Danio rerio: one gene and its partners. The main gene of each other region encodes a partner of the protein of the gene in region 3 in a complex. Links are inferred from orthologs where the notes say so. Each region holds a gene or a part of one and is shown on either strand. Other genes may lie near its edges.

What was found.
Region 1: snrpd3l (region 3) and rbm48 share a complex: the UniProt entries of both Homo sapiens proteins name them as parts of the minor spliceosome. The link is inferred for Danio rerio from reciprocal best matches to the Homo sapiens genes SNRPD3 and RBM48.
Region 2: snrpd3l (region 3) and ppil2 share a complex: the UniProt entries of both Homo sapiens proteins name them as parts of the minor spliceosome. The link is inferred for Danio rerio from reciprocal best matches to the Homo sapiens genes SNRPD3 and PPIL2.
Region 4: snrpd3l (region 3) and snrpe share a complex: the UniProt entries of both Homo sapiens proteins name them as parts of the U7 snRNP complex. The link is inferred for Danio rerio from reciprocal best matches to the Homo sapiens genes SNRPD3 and SNRPE.

The regions. Positions count from the first base shown.
Region 1 is NC_133194.1:42,804,289-42,809,182, forward strand, and holds the start of rbm48 (RNA-binding protein 48), read left to right. Parts: upstream 1-1,585; 5' UTR 1,586-1,662; coding exon 1,663-1,788; intron 1,789-1,924; coding exon 1,925-2,115; intron 2,116-3,967; coding exon 3,968-4,113; intron 4,114-4,197; coding exon 4,198-4,757; intron 4,758-4,894. UniProt on the Homo sapiens protein: As a component of the minor spliceosome, involved in the splicing of U12-type introns in pre-mRNAs.
Region 2 is NC_133180.1:13,584,199-13,589,371, forward strand, and holds the start of ppil2 (RING-type E3 ubiquitin-protein ligase PPIL2), read left to right. Parts: upstream 1-1,864; 5' UTR 1,865-1,972; coding exon 1,973-2,004; intron 2,005-2,309; coding exon 2,310-2,359; intron 2,360-5,173. UniProt on the Homo sapiens protein: Has a ubiquitin-protein ligase activity acting as an E3 ubiquitin protein ligase or as an ubiquitin-ubiquitin ligase promoting elongation of ubiquitin chains on substrates.
Region 3 is NC_133196.1:14,699,818-14,704,668, forward strand, and holds the start of snrpd3l (small nuclear ribonucleoprotein D3 polypeptide, like), read left to right. Parts: upstream 1-1,708; 5' UTR 1,709-1,825; intron 1,826-3,674; 5' UTR 3,675-3,682; coding exon 3,683-3,808; intron 3,809-3,914; coding exon 3,915-4,107; intron 4,108-4,851. UniProt on the Homo sapiens protein: Plays a role in pre-mRNA splicing as a core component of the spliceosomal U1, U2, U4 and U5 small nuclear ribonucleoproteins (snRNPs), the building blocks of the spliceosome.
Region 4 is NC_133186.1:40,122,514-40,127,492, forward strand, and holds the start of snrpe (small nuclear ribonucleoprotein E), read left to right. Parts: upstream 1-1,670; 5' UTR 1,671-1,792; coding exon 1,793-1,846; intron 1,847-2,135; coding exon 2,136-2,162; intron 2,163-3,524; coding exon 3,525-3,587; intron 3,588-4,979. UniProt on the Homo sapiens protein: Plays a role in pre-mRNA splicing as a core component of the spliceosomal U1, U2, U4 and U5 small nuclear ribonucleoproteins (snRNPs), the building blocks of the spliceosome.

The DNA.
Region 1 (4,894 bases), on a different chromosome or scaffold from region 3:
TTTTCCTGAAAGCTCACCACACTGATCTGGATCATCTTCATCATCTTTGTCCGCCTGTTTCTTCTTCACAAACACGACCTCTGAATAAACCACGTCCTCAGACATGCTTCTGGAGGGATGCTGCTCAAAGCCTGTATCACAGAATGATGGGGAAAAGAGGAACCTCGTGCTCCTTTCTGTCAAGAATCTGTTGTCATACCTTATGAAATAGCAGCCTATGATAAAACCATTTTATAAAACGGATATGTCCAGTCCTTGCTGCTGATTGGTCATTAGCCGGGTTTTAATTACAACTACAGTAATGATCTTGTAGCAATACTGTGCAAACATGTCCGTGTGTTAGTATTAATATTTATTAAATGAAATATGAGTAGCCCCGCAAAATGTATGTATACGTTATTCATTTATTTAATATGTGTGTGTTTTGGGGTTAAAACTTATCCAGCTGCAGATATACACACGTTTCAGGCACACACGATCTAAGTTAGACGGGTGTTAATGTTATTAACCTCTTCTCGGACATCATCAATATATTTTACACATAAGGTTATTGTTAATATGTATTGTATAGGCAAACACTGTAAACAATAATGCATAGGCATACCATTTCACAAATATAGCGATCAAGACGGGCGAATGGGGAATAATCACCATTCAATATAATACACTGAACAGTTTTCCATCAGTCATCATAGATGATCAGTCATTATTTATCTGACAAAGTCAACATAGCAGATTCTCGTTTGCTCAAACATTTTAAACGATCTAATTTGGACAGGTTTAATTTATTTAATGGATGCATAATGAATGAAATATAGCTAATGTACAGGATAGGCTAATAGCCTACATCATTATATCAATGTAATGTACAAATCTTTTTACATTTAATAAATGTAAAACACTGTTAATCTTTTACTCCAGCAACTGAATAGTATATATTTGCTTAATTTTCTAATAATTTTTATAATGATCTCCCACATTAAATAGGCCTACTAGTAATTTATAGTAATATATTGAGTTCACCCCAAAAAATCAAATGGGCTCACTATTTACTCAGAGGTTCAGGTGGTTCCAAGCTTTTCTGAGTTTCTTTATTCTGCTGAACACAAGAGATGTTTTGAAGAATGCTGAAAATAATTATATGGAAGTTTTGTATTATATGTATTTTTAAAAATCCTAATTTGTGTTAAGAAGAAAGTAAATCAAAATGGTTTGGAACAAGTCAACAACCTAGTAAATAATGACAGAATTTTCGGTTTTGAGTGAACTAACCCTTTAAATGGGTAAAAAAAGAAGCTTGTTTTAAACGTTAAAAACTTAAAATAAATTTATAATATAGTTTATAATTAATTCGTCTGCATTTATAATAGTTGCGACATTTTCTGCGAGTTAGCATCTTACAATTTTGACTTTTGTCCAAATCTTTTTGATATTTATTTTATTTTGTTAGAAGTGTTTATCATAATTTGGATGTGTAAATGAATTATTATTATAATTATCATCGTCATTATCATTATAATATTTTTTTATCACCATCATCATTATTCTTCTTAATATTATTTTTATTAGCATCCTTTTGGGAAAGCGGGCTTTTATTTATTTTTTCTAATTGGAACTTTTATTTTGAAAGCCTGTTTTTTTTCGTCGCTGATTTCCACAGTGATGGACGGGTCAGTTGCTAGTTCCTCTGTGTGGGACACACAAAAAGTGTATAAACATCACGAGCAGCAAAATGTTGCCCAAACGCGACCAAAATACAGAGAAGGAAGACGCCTCAAAGCTGTTAAGGTCGGTTTATTTTATAAATGCCTTTATCTCATCGAATTGTGCAGCGTCAATGTAAGCAGTCATGTTGTCTTTAAGGTCTCTCTCACAAGAACTGAATCTCTGCTTATAAAAATAATGGCTGAATCGCTAATTTTAGGTGTACACCATCAACCTGGAGTCTCGGTATTTACTAGTTCAAGGAGTGCCCGCTATTGGAGTGATGGCTGAGCTGGTGCAGCTGTTTGCTCTGTATGGAGTGATCGAGGAGTACAGGCCACTGGATGAATACCCAGCAGAAGAGTTCACTGAGGTTTACTTAATTCAGTTCCAGAAGTTGACGAGTGCACGGTAAGAAAAGGCTGATTAAATCATGTCCCATGCGAGTCTGTGCCATATATTATATATTGTGCCATATTTTTCTTGTTGATGATATAATTTCAGAAAAGTATTCTTTGCATATTCTTAATAGTGAATCAAATTAGCAGCTAGTGACTATCAAAGTTCAACATTGTTCACAGTCAAATAAATAGTGGTAATGCTGATTTGAAGTCATACTTGCATGTGATTTCAAACCCAATATTAAAAGTACCATGGTAAACAATATAGGGAGCATGTCACAAGTTGTCATTGAAAGAATGTGTGAATCTAAAACCATCCTTACCTCAATGTACCATGTTGGTGCACTGCAGAGTCGCATTCACTTTTAGTTAAAGGGATAGTTGACTCAAATACTGTAACAATAACAATTTATTCACCCTCAAGTGGTTTGAAACACAAAGGAAGATATTTTGAAATCTGGAATCCAGTAACCATCAACTTGCATAGTAGGACAAATAAATAGTATTGAAGTCAATGGTTACCGGCTTCAAGCTTTCTTTAAAATATCGTTTGTGTTCAGCTCAGACGATGTTTGTGACATGTAACGGGTGAGTAAATGATGTCTATTTTTATTTTGGAGTGAACTGTCTTTGTAGGTTCCACAAAATGTGACTTAAAACATTATGATTCATTATTAAAATATTAAATAAACACATATAGAAAACTATATACAGTACACACACTACCATACAATTGTTTGGAGTCTTCCATTTTGAAAATGATTTTGAAAGAAGCATCTTATGCTCACCAAGTCAGCTAATATTTTTTTAACTAAAAACAAAGCATCAACAATCGGATGTATTATTACATTGTCACATTTTCTATCTTGTTTAAAAGTGTAATGTATTGTGTTGAGGATGAAGGGTAATTTTCATGCTTGGTACTCGCATTTATACATGGTTATTGTCACATGACTCTTCGGAAATAATTAATTTGCTGATTTGTTGTGCAGTATATAATTTCTAATTATTATCAATGTTGTAAAGTTGCACAACTTAACATCCAAAACATCTAAGGGTTTTTTTTTTTTTTGTTCAAGATTCTTTAATGTTCTTTAGTGTCTCTTTCTCTTTAATAACACTGTAAATCTCTTTACTGCCATTAAACATTTTAAGAATATTATAAAGAGTATTTATTGCTGATAATTCTATAAATACTTTTTTACATATTTTTTCCCCTCTAAACCAAAGCAAAAATCAAAGAATAATTATTTCAAATATATGGAATTAAGTAATCGTAGTTATTTTAATTATATTTTAATAAAACTATATATTTTTAGGATAGTGTCAAAGTAAAAATAGCTGTACTGGGATTTTTAAAAATATGCCTGACAAAAATTGTTTTTCTTATAAACTATTGTTACACTGAATGACATCCACTCACCGGCCACTTTATTAGGTACACCTTACTAGTACCGGGTTTGACCTCAGAACTGCTTTTATCCTTTCTGGCATGGATTTAACAAGGAGCTGGAAATATTCCTCATTAATTTTGGTCCATATTGACATGATAGCATGTCATTGAGCAGATAGGATGGATCCATGCTTTCATGTTTGAACTGGAGCAGATTGTCTCGACCATGTACATGCATAAATGAATTGAGTTGCTTTCATGTAATTGGCTGCATAGAAATTGGTGTTTACGAGCAGTTGGACAGGTGTACCTAGCAAAATGGCCAGTGAGTGGATATTGCCATGCTATATATATATATATATATATATATATATATATATATATATATATATATATATATATATATATATATATATATATATAATTTTTTTTTTTTTTTAAATTAATTAATTAATTTATTTTTTTACAGGGCAGCTAAAAGGCACACAGATGAAAAGAGCTTCTTCGGGGGTCAGCTGCATGTCTGCTATGCTCCTGAGTATGAAACCGTGGAGGAAACAAAGCAGAAATTACAAGACAGAAGGAGATATGTTAACTGGGCAAGCCGAAATGCAGGTATGGTAATGCATTGGTATTCTCTCTAAATAAATTGCATGTGTAGAAAGTCTAACAACTATCATATGCTTATTTTGTTTTCAGCACAACTACACAGTCAGCAAGCGGAAGTAAACACAGAGTCATCATCAAGCACAGACACACGAACAGCTGAAGCTCCTAAAATGCAGAAAAACCCTGAAGAAGCCAGAAGGGAGAACGTAAATTCTGACTATATGGGATTTCCTCTGTTGCCTTTGCCTCCAACAGCAGATATTTCTTATAGACTTCAAAATCATTTTACCCAGCCATCACAATTACAGTGGACCAATGAAACGACAGAGGATAAAATGGGCTCTCTGCATAATTTCATCCCTCCTGTACAAAAAACCTCAACGCAGAGTGAGTCTTCCTCATCTTCAGGTGTTAAAGAGGGAGATTTGAGGCAAAAACAGAAGATTTCCACTCCGTCTATTAGATTTATGCCAAGGACTACACATTTAGAGAGCAGAAAAAGGAAACTAGATGAACAAACCTTCTTTTTGAAAGAAGCAGATAAAACGGGGGTTCTGATTGGTCCAAAATTACCAGAGCTGCCCAAGTTGGACATGGAAGATTCTTCGTTAAATGTTACCGCCAATTTGATCCGTAACACCATGACCAAGGTTAGTTTTCTTATTACTTTCAACAATATTGGGATTGTTAACCCAATTTTAAGATTCACCTATTACAGTGCATCAGGAAAGTATTCTTAGCGCTTTACTTTTTCCACATTTCTTTATGTTACAGCCTTATTCCAAAA
Region 2 (5,173 bases), on a different chromosome or scaffold from region 3:
GACTAGTCTAGTTTTGGCCTATTCTTAGTCGTCTATTTGATTCTCACGGAAAGCCTGAATTTAGCCTTGTTTTAGCCAAGATGACTATGCTTAGATGTCTATTAGAAATCTTTTAAAAACAAAAAATGCTTGCTGGGATCTGTCTATTTGACGAGTCTATTTTGGGGCTGTTCTTAAATGTCTATTAGATTTCCAGTGACAACCTGAATTTAGTCTTGTTTTATTAAAGATAACTTTAGACTTCTATTAGGCATCTGTTAAAAACAAAAAATGCTTGCTGGGACAGTACTTCAATTTTTTTTACATCAAATGAACAAATCAATAGAGAATAAAAATTAAATAAATAAAAAAAATATATAGGGAACATATAAATTACAATAAATTTGTATAGGAAATTGATTCCAAAATTGCATACATCCTTATAGTTTTTTTAATTATTAAAGTATTTTAGGTTTTCAAAATAATGCGTAAGATGAATTTTAAACAAATAAATGTTAGGTTTATCAATGGACCACTTTTGTTTGTGCATAATAGAGTACACCCCATTTTGAAAATGAATATTTTTCTCCATTTCTTAGTGAATATAGGAAATGTATGTTGGTGCATTTAAACAAAACAGAGTTATTAAACAGATATATTTATTAAAAAAATATTTTGGTCACCAAACATATTTAAAAATTGAAAAATAATACAATTAAATTCAAGCAAAATATTGTGAAAAATGTACAACTTACAAAATTTCAACTAAATTTTTCATTTTATTTTTTTGCTTCTCTTGATTTTTCCTCTTTTTTAAACTTATATTTAATATTTTTCTCTAACATATACATTTGACTGTACTCGGTTTTTTGACCGTCATCATAAGTTATTTAGATAAGCTCCAGATTTGGCTTCAGTACTGACTAATCTAATGTATATGCACAAATATAATATTATATAGCTTCCTATTAAAAATATGAATTTAATAGAGTGATTTGTGAGGGGTGTAGCCTATATGTTGAGCACTGTATAATCATTAAATTAATAAACAAAATTTGCTCCAAAGTTTTATTATTATTATTGTATGTCAAAAACATCTTTACAAGAAAACTGCATTTTTAATTTTGTACGTTTAAATATAACATATTTAACATCAAACCAAAACATTTGGGAATATGTGCATTCAATGAGTATTCAGGTGTTTCAGCAATTCCTCTAATTCACAAAAAGAACATGCAGATTGCATGTCTAAAACGTTTTTAACAACTTGTTTCACGGGATAGATGAAATGAATTAGTTTATATGTAGGCCGCGCGGTGGCGCAGTTGGTAGCTCTGTTGCATCACAGCAAAAGGGTCGCTGGTTCGAGTTGACGTTTGTGGCATTTGCATGTACTCCTCATGTTGGTGTGGGTTTCCTCCAGGTGCTCCGGTTTCCCCCACAGTCCAAAGACATAGCTATAGGTGAATTGAATAAACTAAATTGGCCGCAGTGTGAGTGTGTGTGAATGAGTGTGTATGGATGTTTGCCAGTACTGGGTTGCAGCTGAAAGGATACAACATACGTAAACATATGCTGGTTAAGTTAGCGGGTCATTCCGTTGTGGTGACCCCTGATTAATAAAGGGACTAAGTTAAGCCGAAAAGAAAATGAATGAATGAATGAATTCATAGGTTTCATGTTTTTTTTATTTTGTGATCAACAAACATCAAACACTTTAAATATCCCCCTCATTATTGAGTATTATTCAGACATCCCAAGTTGAGCATAGACATAATTTACAGTAATTAAAAAACGAATTTTATGAACAGTATCTCAGTCAAAACCGAAGAGGACCAAAAAACATTTTGTTGTTTTAGGTCGGTTGCATTTACCGGTCGCGCCTAGGACACACCGGAAGTAGAGTATTTAAACAGTCGTGCGTTTGTGTTGCTTGTTTATAAACTCCTGAATTTTAATTCTTTTATTTAGCACCACCGCTTAGGTCGCAAAAATGGGGAAAAGACAGCATCAAAAAGACAAGATGTGAGTTGCTGGAGTGAAATATGACACGTTTGCTAACGGTTGAATTTTATTATTTCACTGAAAACTGAGTACGCTTCTTTAACTGTTTGCGTTGTTTGTATTATTTAGGGTTTGTAATGTTTTAATTTTAATTTTGGGACAGTAAGTCGTTCTTCATTCAGCTGCAACGACGGCATTTTGATTAATGTTCATGTATTAGATTCAGCGACGTAACATGAATTATCTAAAGAATGCAAATATGTAAATGACGACGTTATACTCTTTATACAGCTTTCAAATGATTTATTCAATACTCTGTTTTTCAGGTACATTACATCTACAGAATACACCCAGTTTTATGGAGGGAAGAAAGCAGGTATTTGCGTTAACCTGATGTAACGTTACTTCAAGTCATGTCAAGCTTTTGGGACTGTAGGACGTACCATTTTTGTTTCTTTATCAAATTAAATATAACTTATAAGTTACATAGAAAACATTTGAAATGCAAGAAAAGTGTCTATTTGAATATAATTTCACATATTGGTGAAATAGAAATAGTGTTATATCATTTAGCGTAAATATATTTATGCATATAGTCAGTAACAATTATGTTTGGGAAAATTATTCAATAAAAAAATAATAAAACACAAAACAGTTGTCATTTTTCTAGTGGGTCTATATATATATATATATATATATATATATATATATATATATATATATATATATATATATATATATATATATATATAGCAGTGTGATATGGCTGTATATCTGGTGGGAGATGTGCGTTGGCATGAGGCCGAGTGCCTTAGTGCCCCCGCCAGTGCCGATATACAGCCATATCGCACTGCTACGAGTGTGATATTGCGTTTATACAACAGTTTAACGGCATAATTGTGTATATAAAAACAAAATCAAACATGGAGATTCTCAAAAACCCTTTTGTATGAGGAACTACTTTCTTCCACCTTGGATTCAAATCATAAGCTGATAGCTAAACAGCTGAGCAAGCATCTTTTAAACTTTAGATCTGTAGTGTCTGCTTTTTTGCTGGTTGTATGTGGGCGGAGTAATACACAAAAAAAAGAGGTAAAGAGGCTTTACTGGTGCTGAAATTACTTAAATATATCACGGCTATTAGCCAATCAGATTCAAGAACCAGACAACTGTTGTATAAATATATATATATTGCAATAACTTGTTTGAATTTAAATATATTATCTTTTTATTGTTAAAGGCACTAGGTATCCAAACTTTTATTTTAATGGATAAAAATATTTTGTTTAAATGCACCAAGATTATTGGCTGTATTTTCTAAGACGTGGATAAAAATATACATTTTCAAAAGGAGGTTATACTCATTTATGCTGAGCACTGTACAGGGTTCATACGGTCATGGAAAACCTAGAAAAATCATTGAATTTTGACTTGACATTTTCCAGGCCTGGAAAAAAAGGAAAACCCACAAAGTTTTGTAAAAGTCATGAGCTGCGTCCCAAATGGCACGCTATACATTAAGCACTATGTACTTATGCACTAACACAGAGGTTCTCAAAGTGGGGGTCGGGACCCCCCGAGGGGTCGCGGGACAATGAATGGGGGTTGCCTGTTGATTTTCAAAAATCAATTAATTTTTATTAAACCTTAAGACTAACTGTATTTTATCAATAACCTACTGATGAGAAAAAAATAGTTGTTTATAGTTACTATAAACTATATAGTTACTATAGTAGCTTATAGTTACTAGTTCTATTGGATTGCGTCTTCTTGAGTAATTACATTATACTAAAGACACAGCAATACTGTCAGATGCAGCAGATTTTGGAACACCAGGTTAAACTTTCTAACCCATTTACAGCACTGACATACATAAAAAAAACAAAGAATAGACTTGGGTCTATTGGTGTGTGTGCGTCATTGCATACAAGGTTTCTGTATTTATAACCACCACCTCAGAGAATATTGGGGGTCACGAGTCACTGGCATTCTCATTTTGGGGGTCGCGGGCTGAAAAGTTTGGGAACCCCTGCACTAACACACTCAACAGCATAGTATATGTATGTATTGTCGTCCCAAATGGAACACTAACTGTTATTTTGCTAAACGGAAATTCAAACCATTTCCCTGATGACGTTTGATGGTTGCCATATTAGTAAAATAAATGACCAAAGGACCAGATAATATATGCAAGGATAACCGCATTCACCTTCGGGAGGCGCTATAATCACTCTTGTAGGATAATTTTGCTTTCACAATTCAAAATAAATAAAGTAATCCAACATGTGCACCCTATACCAATGCTCCTTCCGCTATGTGAGCAAATCTGAGATTGTTGAGTGCGTGAAGTGTCCAACATTCCACACTTCATTGTAATAGTTGAACGAGTGCATCATCCTGGTATTAAAATGCACTTATTATTTATAGAGTTTTCAGTGTGAACACACTACTTGCACTATTTATACTACAAAATGGCGTAGAATAGTGCGTAAGTATGCGATTTGGGACGCACCTATGGAAAACAGATATCTGTATACTTATAGGTTAGAATATAGGTTAGTTGTCTTGACTTCTATTCTGTCCTTGGCCAATCACATTCTCACATTATTAGTGTGGTTGTAAGCATTATCTACATAAGTTTTACATAGAAATGAATATAAATTTGGCGTCACGGTGGTGCAGTGGGTAGCACAATTGCCTTACAGCAAGAAGGTTGCTGGTTCAAGCCTTTGCTGGGTCAGTTGGCATTTCTCTGGGAGTTTGCATGTTCTCCTGTGGGCGACCCCAGATTAATAAAGGGACTTGGCCGAAAAGAAAATGAATGAATGAGTGAAATATAAATTTAAACTAAATAGATTGTTGTGTGTTTTACAAAGTGCCGTAATAAATTTGAACACTTATTGTTTTTCTTTTGTAGACTTTCTATATGTAGACATTGCATGGAACATTAGGTCATAAAAATTTACTTGAAAGTCATGGAAAAGTCATGGAATTTTTTAGTTGTAAAAATGTGTATGAACCCTGTCTGTAATATTTAAAAATGATCATAAATATGGCAAGTTTTTAAAACTCATTCTGCCAAATGGAAATATTAAATATTACAATTAATCTGTATTTTATTTTGGGCTGCACTGTGAAATTTAAATAAGTCGTCAAGTCAGTGATTCTTGTTCTAAGTGTGCCCTACAGT
Region 3 (4,851 bases):
ACAGTAAATAATATTTGACTAGATATTTTTCAAGACACTTCTATACAGCTTAAAGTGACATTTAAAGGCTTAACTGGGTTAATTATGTTGGCAGGTTAGGGTAATTAGGCAAGTTATTGTATAACGATGGTTTGTTTTGTAGACTATCCAAAAAATATATATAGCTTAAAGTGGCTAATAATTTTGACCTTAAAATTGTTTTTAAAAAATTTAAAACTGCTTTTATTCTAGCTGAAATAAAGAAAATAAGACTTTCTCCAAAAGATAAAATATTATCAGACATACTTTGAAAATTTCTTTGCTCTGTTAAAAATCATTTGGGAAATATTTAAAAAAGAAAAAAAAATCAAAGGGGGGCTAATAGTTATGACTTCAACAGCATATTTTTGATCCATTTTATATATATTTTTGATCCAAACATCACAACAGCGTTCATTTTTGTTAATTTTTTTACGTTAGCAATTTTAACTTCATGGGGACCTATTATGCAAAAATTCCCTTTATAAGAGGTCTAAACAGTTGTGTGGAACAGTCTGTAAATATAATCACCTTCTAATGGTAAAAATATATTAATTTTAGTCTGCAGAAAAACTTTGATTGACATTCTCTCTTTGTAGTGACAATCTGTCCCTCATTAGCATATTACATTAGTCTTGTTTTTGAATCTGCCACTATGCTGACACACAGGCATTTGTGGCTCCCCTTTTTAAAAAAGGGCTGGGAACACAATATCATTTGAATTTAAAGCGACAGTAACCAAAACGACATCAGAGACTTTTAAAGATTTCACAAACTTTATATCTTGTAAAAAGGGCCATAAAAAGTCCCCTTTAAATCAGTTTGATTGATGTAAGTTGAAATTACTAAAATTAAATTGATTCAACTTAAAAATTTAAAACAGCAACAAATTTTTTACAGTGTATTATGGTAATTACTTATATATTTTTAATGTATGAAATAATGAAATTATGATTTTTGGCTGGGTCAGTTGGCATTTCTGTGTGGAGTTTGCACGTTCTCCACGTGTTGGTGTGGGTTTCCTCTAGGTGAATTGAATAAACTAAATTGGCCGTAGTGTTTGAGTGTGGATGAGTGTGTTTGGGTGTTTCCCAGTACTGGGTTGCAGCTGAAAGGGCATCCCCTGTGTAAAACATATGTACGATAAGTTGGCGTTTTATTCCGCTGTGGTGACCCCTAATGAATAAAGGAACTAACCCGAAGGAAAGTGAATGAATGAATGAATGAATGAATGAATGAATGAATGAATGAATATTGCTATACTAATTTGAAAGATAAAATTGACATTATATTAAATTCAATTGTTTTTAACAATGTGAATAATTCAATAATTGTAATAAAAGTAAAATAAACATCTTATATATTATATCATAGCTGTATATAATACAATATACAATATTTAAAAAAAACTGTTTTAATAGGTTCATTCTATCGATTTTATTTACAGTTCTTCTCATATATTGGATTTCAAAGATAGATTTAACAAACTAATTACAATATGAATATTTAAAATTAAATCAAATTACTTAGATTAACTGTTTATTATGAATGTGACACTAATTTGACTCAGATTTAAAACACTAAATTAAATTATTTTAAGTAAAATGCACAATTCGATGCTGCCCTCTTGTGTGCGAGTCTTGAGATGTTTGCTGCGTAGTTTTAATACGGACTTCACCTCCCAGGATGCAACTGGTTTTCAGGAAAGGGCGGGGCTTTTGCTTTCAGGTGCATTGTGGGAGCGGGAAAACGTCGCACAAGCTCACGTTGTTCCGCTGCTGTGTTTCAACGAATCTGCAGATTCAAGGTACTGTAATGCTTTATGATTATAACCTGATAACTACGTGGGGTATTTTGCGTGGTTCTGTGCTAAAATATACAGTCCTTTTTCGATTATTTAGTAGAGGAACATATATTTCGGTCATTCATTGTTTGCATTCACGCGACTCGTTTGAGAGATCAATCTTGGATATTCATTAATGTCTATCGCTTCATCCTGTTATTGAGTTCAGTAACGTTATAAGTCAGTTTTTACAAGTACCGTAGCCAAATGATTTTATGGTGTTTCATATTCTAGCGTGGATTCTTTCCAGCTAACGTTACATGTTTAGAACATGATTCTTAAACGAATGATTCGTAAGAGTCGGTTCATTTTATTGAATCAAAAGCAAAAAAGGTATAATAAATCGTTCTAACGAGTCGGTTATTTTAAATTACTCAAAAAATATGACATATTATTTTTTTCTATTTAAGAGGTGACTTTGGGAGTTATTTTTTGTTTCATAAAACTAAACCTGGCTCTTATAAATAAAATCCAAGTCAAAGGGTAACCTTTGATATTCACAAAACATATACAGTCAAAAGCTAAAGTTAAATGTGTTATAACTATATATTTGAGTTAAAACTACACTCTGATTTCGACAGTATAAGCAAAAAGGCTGTAATGGTAATATACACTCACTTTTTACACATTCTTCATTAATCAGAAGCAGTCTACTTCAGATTCAGTGACGTTACGAGCTCCTCCCATGCTTACTGATATATATATATATATATATCAAAGACATTAAGGGGATGATACCAGAACAATTTTGAGCATGGTTGTTGGAAGATGTTGTAGTGATGCTATCATTGAGAAACCAAGTAAGACACAGGACAGCTAATGAAGGATCCAAATACAATTTTGATACCCATTATCAATAGGAAAGTAGCTAAGCAGAATCACTCTGCAATATTGCCGAGCAACATTGCTCAAAAATAGGTTTGACTAAAATGTAAGTCTGAGCCGTTTCATCTGAAAGAAACATACACTGAACTGATCTTAATGCATTTCCGTGTGTGTTTTGGTTGGTAAGATGGAAAAAATCCTAAACTTTATTTGATAGATTTAGAGCAGTAAGAGGGTAAAGATGCTAAATAAAAGTTTAGTACACAGGCAACAAATAGTATAGCAGGAATTTGACCTGACAATGTAAAAAATGCAAACAAATAACAAACTCTCCTTAATATGAAGAACTGTAATGTCACATGAGTGCAGCAGTCATCGGATAAACCCAAAGAAAGGGTTTGTGTGCCCGAGACGAGACGCATGCTGTAAATGCTCCACCCTCTTACAAGCAGTAGCTCATTTGCATTAAATAGGACACACAACAACTGTGTTTGGGGGGCATTTACAGCATCAGTCTGTGGAAGAAACTGAGCATTATGTACAGTATTACCTTAAACCCCCAGCCTGTGCACATGTTTAGCCTTTTCATTAAGGTCTCCCGGTGACATAATGATGTGCATGTTGTCGTCAATATTGTGGATGGGATGAGGTTGAATTATCAGCAAATTTTCACTTTGAAAGAACTATCCCTTTTATAACCATTGGTCAGTGTCTGTTGTCTATATATATATATATATATATATATATATATATATATATATATATATATATATATATATATATATATATATATACACATACATACATACATACACCACACACACACACACACACACACACACACACACACATACACACACACACACACACACACACACACACATACACACACACACACATATATATACACACACACACACACACATAGATAGATATATAGATGTATAGATAATATTTTTTTGGTAATTTTGTTTTTTTTGTCCCACAGTTCAAAACATGTCTATTGGCGTACCCATCAAAGTCCTGCATGAAGCAGAGGGTCACATTGTGACCTGTGAGACAAACACAGGTGAAGTGTACAGGGGAAAACTGATCGAAGCAGAGGATAACATGAACTGCCAGGTACTGCTGAACTGAAGAACAGTTTATCCCACTAAAATCGCATTCTTTTAATGTCTGTTGTCTCGAGTCATGCAACTGACTGCGTTTCTGTTGTGCTGCGAATCAGATGTCCAACATTACAGTGACCTATCGAGATGGCAGAGTGTCACAGCTCGAGCAGGTCTACATCCGTGGCAGCAAAATCCGCTTTCTCATTCTGCCTGACATGTTGAAAAACGCCCCCATGTTGAAGAGCATGAAAAACAAAAACCAAGGAGCAGGAGCCGGTAGAGGAAAAGCTGCTATTCTCAAAGCTCAAGGTTAGTTATTTTAAAAAAAGTTACCTTTTTTTTTAAATTCATTACAGTGTTTGCAGTCATATTGTGTAATTTTTGAGCCTTACTTTGCATTGCATTGGCAATGATTGTAAGCTGCGCCAGAGATGCCTTGAGACGGCATATTTTCCATTAAGCTATTGTTTACATTAAAATATTTGTTTACAAAAGATGCAAGAAATGCAATTGCTGTTCAAAATATTATTTACAGGATATACAAGAGCTATTTTATTTAAAAGAGATATGGCTAGTTTTATACTTTTAATATGAAAAGCACAGAAAATAATTTATTTTGTTTTCAAAAGTGCAAGTTATTTATTTTCAGAAAACTGACTGTTGGTTTTAGGTAATGTGTGTTTTAAATTGAGATCTTCAGTGTTGATGATCAATACATAATTATAGATAGTGTGTGTTCTTCAGTTATTGTAAAATCAAGCAATGCAACCTTCATTCAAAAATCTCTCACTTGTAATATCTAAACATACTTATTTGTCAAAGCTTGTCAGTGAAATATGAGGGCAAAACACACACACACACATACACACACACATACACACACACGCACACACACACACACACACACGCACACACACACAATAATCATTCATTAATCGTGATCTAGTTAAAATGTTCAAGTAATTGAGAATTACACTTTAGACCAACTCACCCAGCCCTAGTCAAGTGCTCTTTAGCCAAATCAATAATTTGCATGGTTTCTAATAGCATTTG
Region 4 (4,979 bases), on a different chromosome or scaffold from region 3:
TAAAAATAAAAAAAAGACTTGTGTTTGTATCACTCCAATATGACAGTGGACAAATTACACTTACAAACTCCAACACTTTCTCTCCAAACAGCTTACAAATGTTGATTTTCATCATGGGTGCCCTTTAAATGTGTGTGGCCTTTATCCCAGTGTCAGTCAGACTGTTGAATATTTAGAATATTTTATATATAATATTGTATATTTGCATTCACTACTTCTGTTTTTAAAATGTATGTATTGTCTGTTTTTTTGTCCTGTCTCTGTAATAATGTTGCACAGTCAAGCTCTGTCACGAAACCAAATTTCTCAAATATGTGAACATACCTGGAAATAAAACTCTTTCTGATTCCCAACACAGATCGACCGTGTGCATATGTTTTTTGTTTGTGTATGCAATTCCTAGCATGTTTGTTTTTTTAATTATTTTTATTGTGTCAGAACTTGCTGAAGTGAGTACACAGACGTACACAGAGTACGCAGAAAATGTCCTCTTGATGGACAAAGTATAACTTACAAAATAAACAAAGAAAACATCAGATTTTCAATGACAATTTAAAAAAATATATATTATTTATACAGATTATAAATACATAATATATCAAATACACAAACGAAACAAGAGAGAAATATACTAAGTTGGTAACAAATATATTCCAATATTTTAAATAATACAAATATTTAAGAGTCACTACAGATAATGGATTGTGCTGAGCTATTGAGAAACAACTACTAAACAATAAACTATAGAGTTTAACGCGAAACTAAAACAACATATACATATACAATTAGTCAATTCAATATTTTTAACCTTATTTTCTTCTCCCTTAAGTAAATGTAGATCGAGCTAAGTAATATAATTGCCAATGTTGACAACAAGATAAGCTAGGCTAGCTAATAGCCATGCCACATTACGTTACAAAAGCTCAGCTTACATACAGTTAAGTCGTATTAAAATGAACAGTTTTTCACTAGAATTGTGTACTCTTAAAGATAAACAGAAATATAATCATAAATGTAATAAAAATGGCTAAATCACTCACCGCCGAGCGTCTCTTTAAACAACAACAGACACACTGACCGTGCAAAAGCCTGCGCGGTACGTCACACACACCTTGTGTACTACGTCGAAAACTACGCTTCAAATGTGATCTATTACATATATCTATGATCTATTAATGCGTCAATAGCATTACATTTCAATATCAGCGGAGCCTTGGTATATTTAATAAGAAATTAAATGGAATAGCTGTACTTTTTAATGTAATAAAGCGTTTAAATGAAACTCTAAGGGTAAATGCTGATTGAAACCGGTATAAAGACCATGGTCGAAAGTTTTTGTCATCAAAGGACTTTTTGAGAGCTAAAGTGGGAGTATGCCGATTATCTTTTGATCTTTTGCTACTTTGTTTATTTCTGATCGAGCACCTGCTTTTGAAATTTTTAGATGTGCGCACATTTCTGTTTTTTTTTTTTTTTTTGCTTTGAAACCGGTGTATTATTATTGCACATAACGTCTTAACAACTTTTAATAGTAGTATGCATTATATAAAGTTTAAATAAAGCATTATATAAAATTGTGTGAATCTGCCTTTCTGTAGTGTCTCCCCAAGCCACAGGAGGCATTACATAGAATCAGCGCGCCATTTTATCTGCGTCATTCTGTTTCCGGATTTGCGCCGCCATTGAAACAACAGCAGCCAACGTGAGATTTTCGTTGCCGCGCCAATAACTATTACACTTAATATCACATTTTGTCACTTTTTATAATAACATCCGGATATTATTGAGAAGAATGGCGTACAGAGGACAAGGACAGAAGGTTCAAAAGGTCATGGTGCAGCCCATCGTATCCTTTCAGGCCAAATAGCTGCATTGAGCTCTCGCCATTGTACCGATATGTGTTGGATGTGTGCTGTTATATGTATAATGTAATATACTTTGACATATTATTGTATAATATAATATAGTTTAGCATATTATTGTAGGTAATATAAGTTGTGTTAGCTAACATTTTGAATACTAAATACTTTTAGCAATGTTTGAGCTGATTATAACAGTGTCCCTGCGTTACAAATGAATGAAAAAGGTTATGAATCGTGTTTATATGTCATTTGTTTCCTTAACGAGTCTTTCAGAACCTTATTTTCAGGTATCTACAGAATGTAAGTACTTGTTTTTCAATCTGCGACATACACAAGCTTTTATCTGTCCACATATGTCTATTTTTTCATGTGTTTATTGTATTTTTGTAGAGTAAAATCTTTATTCTGTTATACCTGCTGATTTATAGATGTCTTGATAAATATCAAAAGTGGTAGTTCTCTCAGAAATGAAAATATTGTAAGCATTGAGGTAAAGTTTGTTAAATTATATTCACACATTCTGAATTTCACGTTCAATAAAATACAGGTCATGGAAAACCTGAAAAAGTCATGGAATTTTGACACAGCATTTTGCAGGCCTGGAAAAGTTTTGTAAAAACAGGGAAATCCACAGAATTTTGGAAAAGTCAGAGAAATTAGTTGAAAAAATATCTGTACACTTGATTTAGCGCGATATTGAAAAGATCTGACTTTACAATATTTTGTATTTCTGTGATCTATATTGCGATGTGAAAACTATTTCACCTGGTGATTTAAATAGAGGTAAAGTTGGTTTTATATTCTGATATTCAGACTTTCCCCTTAATAATATAATTACAGAAAAGTATTCTTTGCAAATTGTAAATGGGGAAATCATATGAGCAGCAAATGACTATCAAAGTACATTGTTCACAGTGAATTAGATAGTGTTAATGTTGTTTAGAACTCATACGTGCATGCTAATTCTGAATATTTAAGGTAACATGGTAAACAATAAAGAGACTGCAGTGCTAAATGAATGAATGTGTAAATATAAAACCAACTTTACCTATTTGATTCAACAGGTATATTTGGATTGATTGGGGGAATTTTGTAGAGGAGTGAATCTTGAATAATACATAACAGATCAATTACAAGCATAGATAAATAAAATATAGTAAAGATAAAATATAATTATAGTTTTCAGATAATCAACACTGCAGAGTCTTCACTGTATATTATTTAATCTTTATTAGAGTTACAAAACATTTCTTGTGGCCGGATGTTTTGAAATTTGAAATATTGAAATGTTCACACAGTCACAAGCCTTATAGGGACAGTTTACTTAAAGATTAAAATGTACTCACTATTTACTCACCCAACCGTTTACTCCATTATGATTAAACTCGAAATTAAACTATTATCTAATATATATAATTTAATATAATTTTAGGGTCAAATATCGACACGCCCAAACATTGGGTTAAAAAGTGACATTTAAATTTCATTAGATAAAAGGTTTTGTCCATATTTGACCCAATTTTGGGTTCCGACAATCCAGCATTTTTTTTTTTTTTTTTTTTTTTTTTTTTTATACAATGTTTTTTAAAAATTGTTTTGTTTAAACCACTTGGCACAAAATCTAAATGAGCAGTTGGTAATAATTTTCCTGCTTCTTTGCAGCGTTCCCGAATCTCGGTGTGGCTGTACGAACAGGTCAACATGCGGATAGAGGGTTGCATCATCGTGAGTAAAGTCTCCGATTTACCAATAACACTAGAGCTGGGAATCTGGGCTGCTTGATCAATTGAAATGAAAACTCAATCCTACCTTTTCAGGTTAGCTAAATCCTAATTCACAACTGACAAAATGCGCATAAAAATCGCCTTCAATTTATTGCCCAGCCCTACTGGGATTCTTTAATTAAATCAATGCATTGAATCAATAAATCAATATTCAACTGCAATTCATTATAAAGTGATGAGTATTTATTTAATATAGCAGAAGACGATATTATTAGCCCTCCTGTGAAAATGTGAGTTCTTTTTGTTGAACAGAAAACTGGGAAATCTTCTCGATATGTCATGTATGTTTTTTTCCTCTGGAAGATGTACATTTATTTTACTTTGGAAGGAAGTAAAGCAATTTTGACCTTTTAAAAATAATCTCAAAAGTTAATATTATTAGCCCCCTTAAGAAATATTTACATTTTTGATTGGCTTCAGAACAAACCTCTGTTCTCCAATGATTCCCTGATTACGAATGCTTTATAATCATTGCTTATGAATGCTAATTACCCTTAAGCTGAATGCTTGTATCTTTTAAAAATAATATAGCAAAAACAAAAGAAATTAGTAATTAATACTTGTTTAAAAATGTGCTGGAACAATCTCTCTGCTAATCAGCACTTGGGAATTATAATTATTATTTTTATAAATATGCCATCATCGGTGTATAATATTTACTCCTTTTATCAGTACAATATACACTCACAAGCCACTTTATTAGGTACACCTGTCCAACTGCTCGTTAAGGCAAATTTCTAATCTGCCAATCACATGGCAGCAACTCAATGGCTGTTTCTCAATTCCAAGAATGCAGAGATTGGACTTGCGTTCTTGTGGAGACCAGTCTTGCCAGTTTTCCTTGGAAGAACAAACTCGGGAGACCACGAGAACAGGGAACGCATCCAGTGGGAAATGGGATGCTGCGTTCTTCCTGATGGTCACGTGACCTTCACTCGTTTTAATTTAAAATTTAAACATTACAGCATTCATACAATGAGTTATTGTTTTTCCCCTTTTCAAAATATATACTCTGCATAAAAACATTATAAATATACGTTGCACAGTATCAATAAAACAGATTTTAATACAAATTTCAGCAAACAAACACCCTTATTGCCTTTATTCCTTTATTAAGATGTCTATGGTAATGTTTATATTTACCGTTTCATTTAGGGAAACTCCTGAGGTAAATAAGTGATATCTCTGAACTTTAATAATAAATCTAAATAAAATGCGGCGCTTCCCACCTCCAGTCGCAATGACTTCTGGGAATTCTAGCAAGATCGTTGCTCAAGTCTGCATCGCTGCATCCTCAATATCAAGAACGCATTCGGGAAGTTTCACGAGTCCT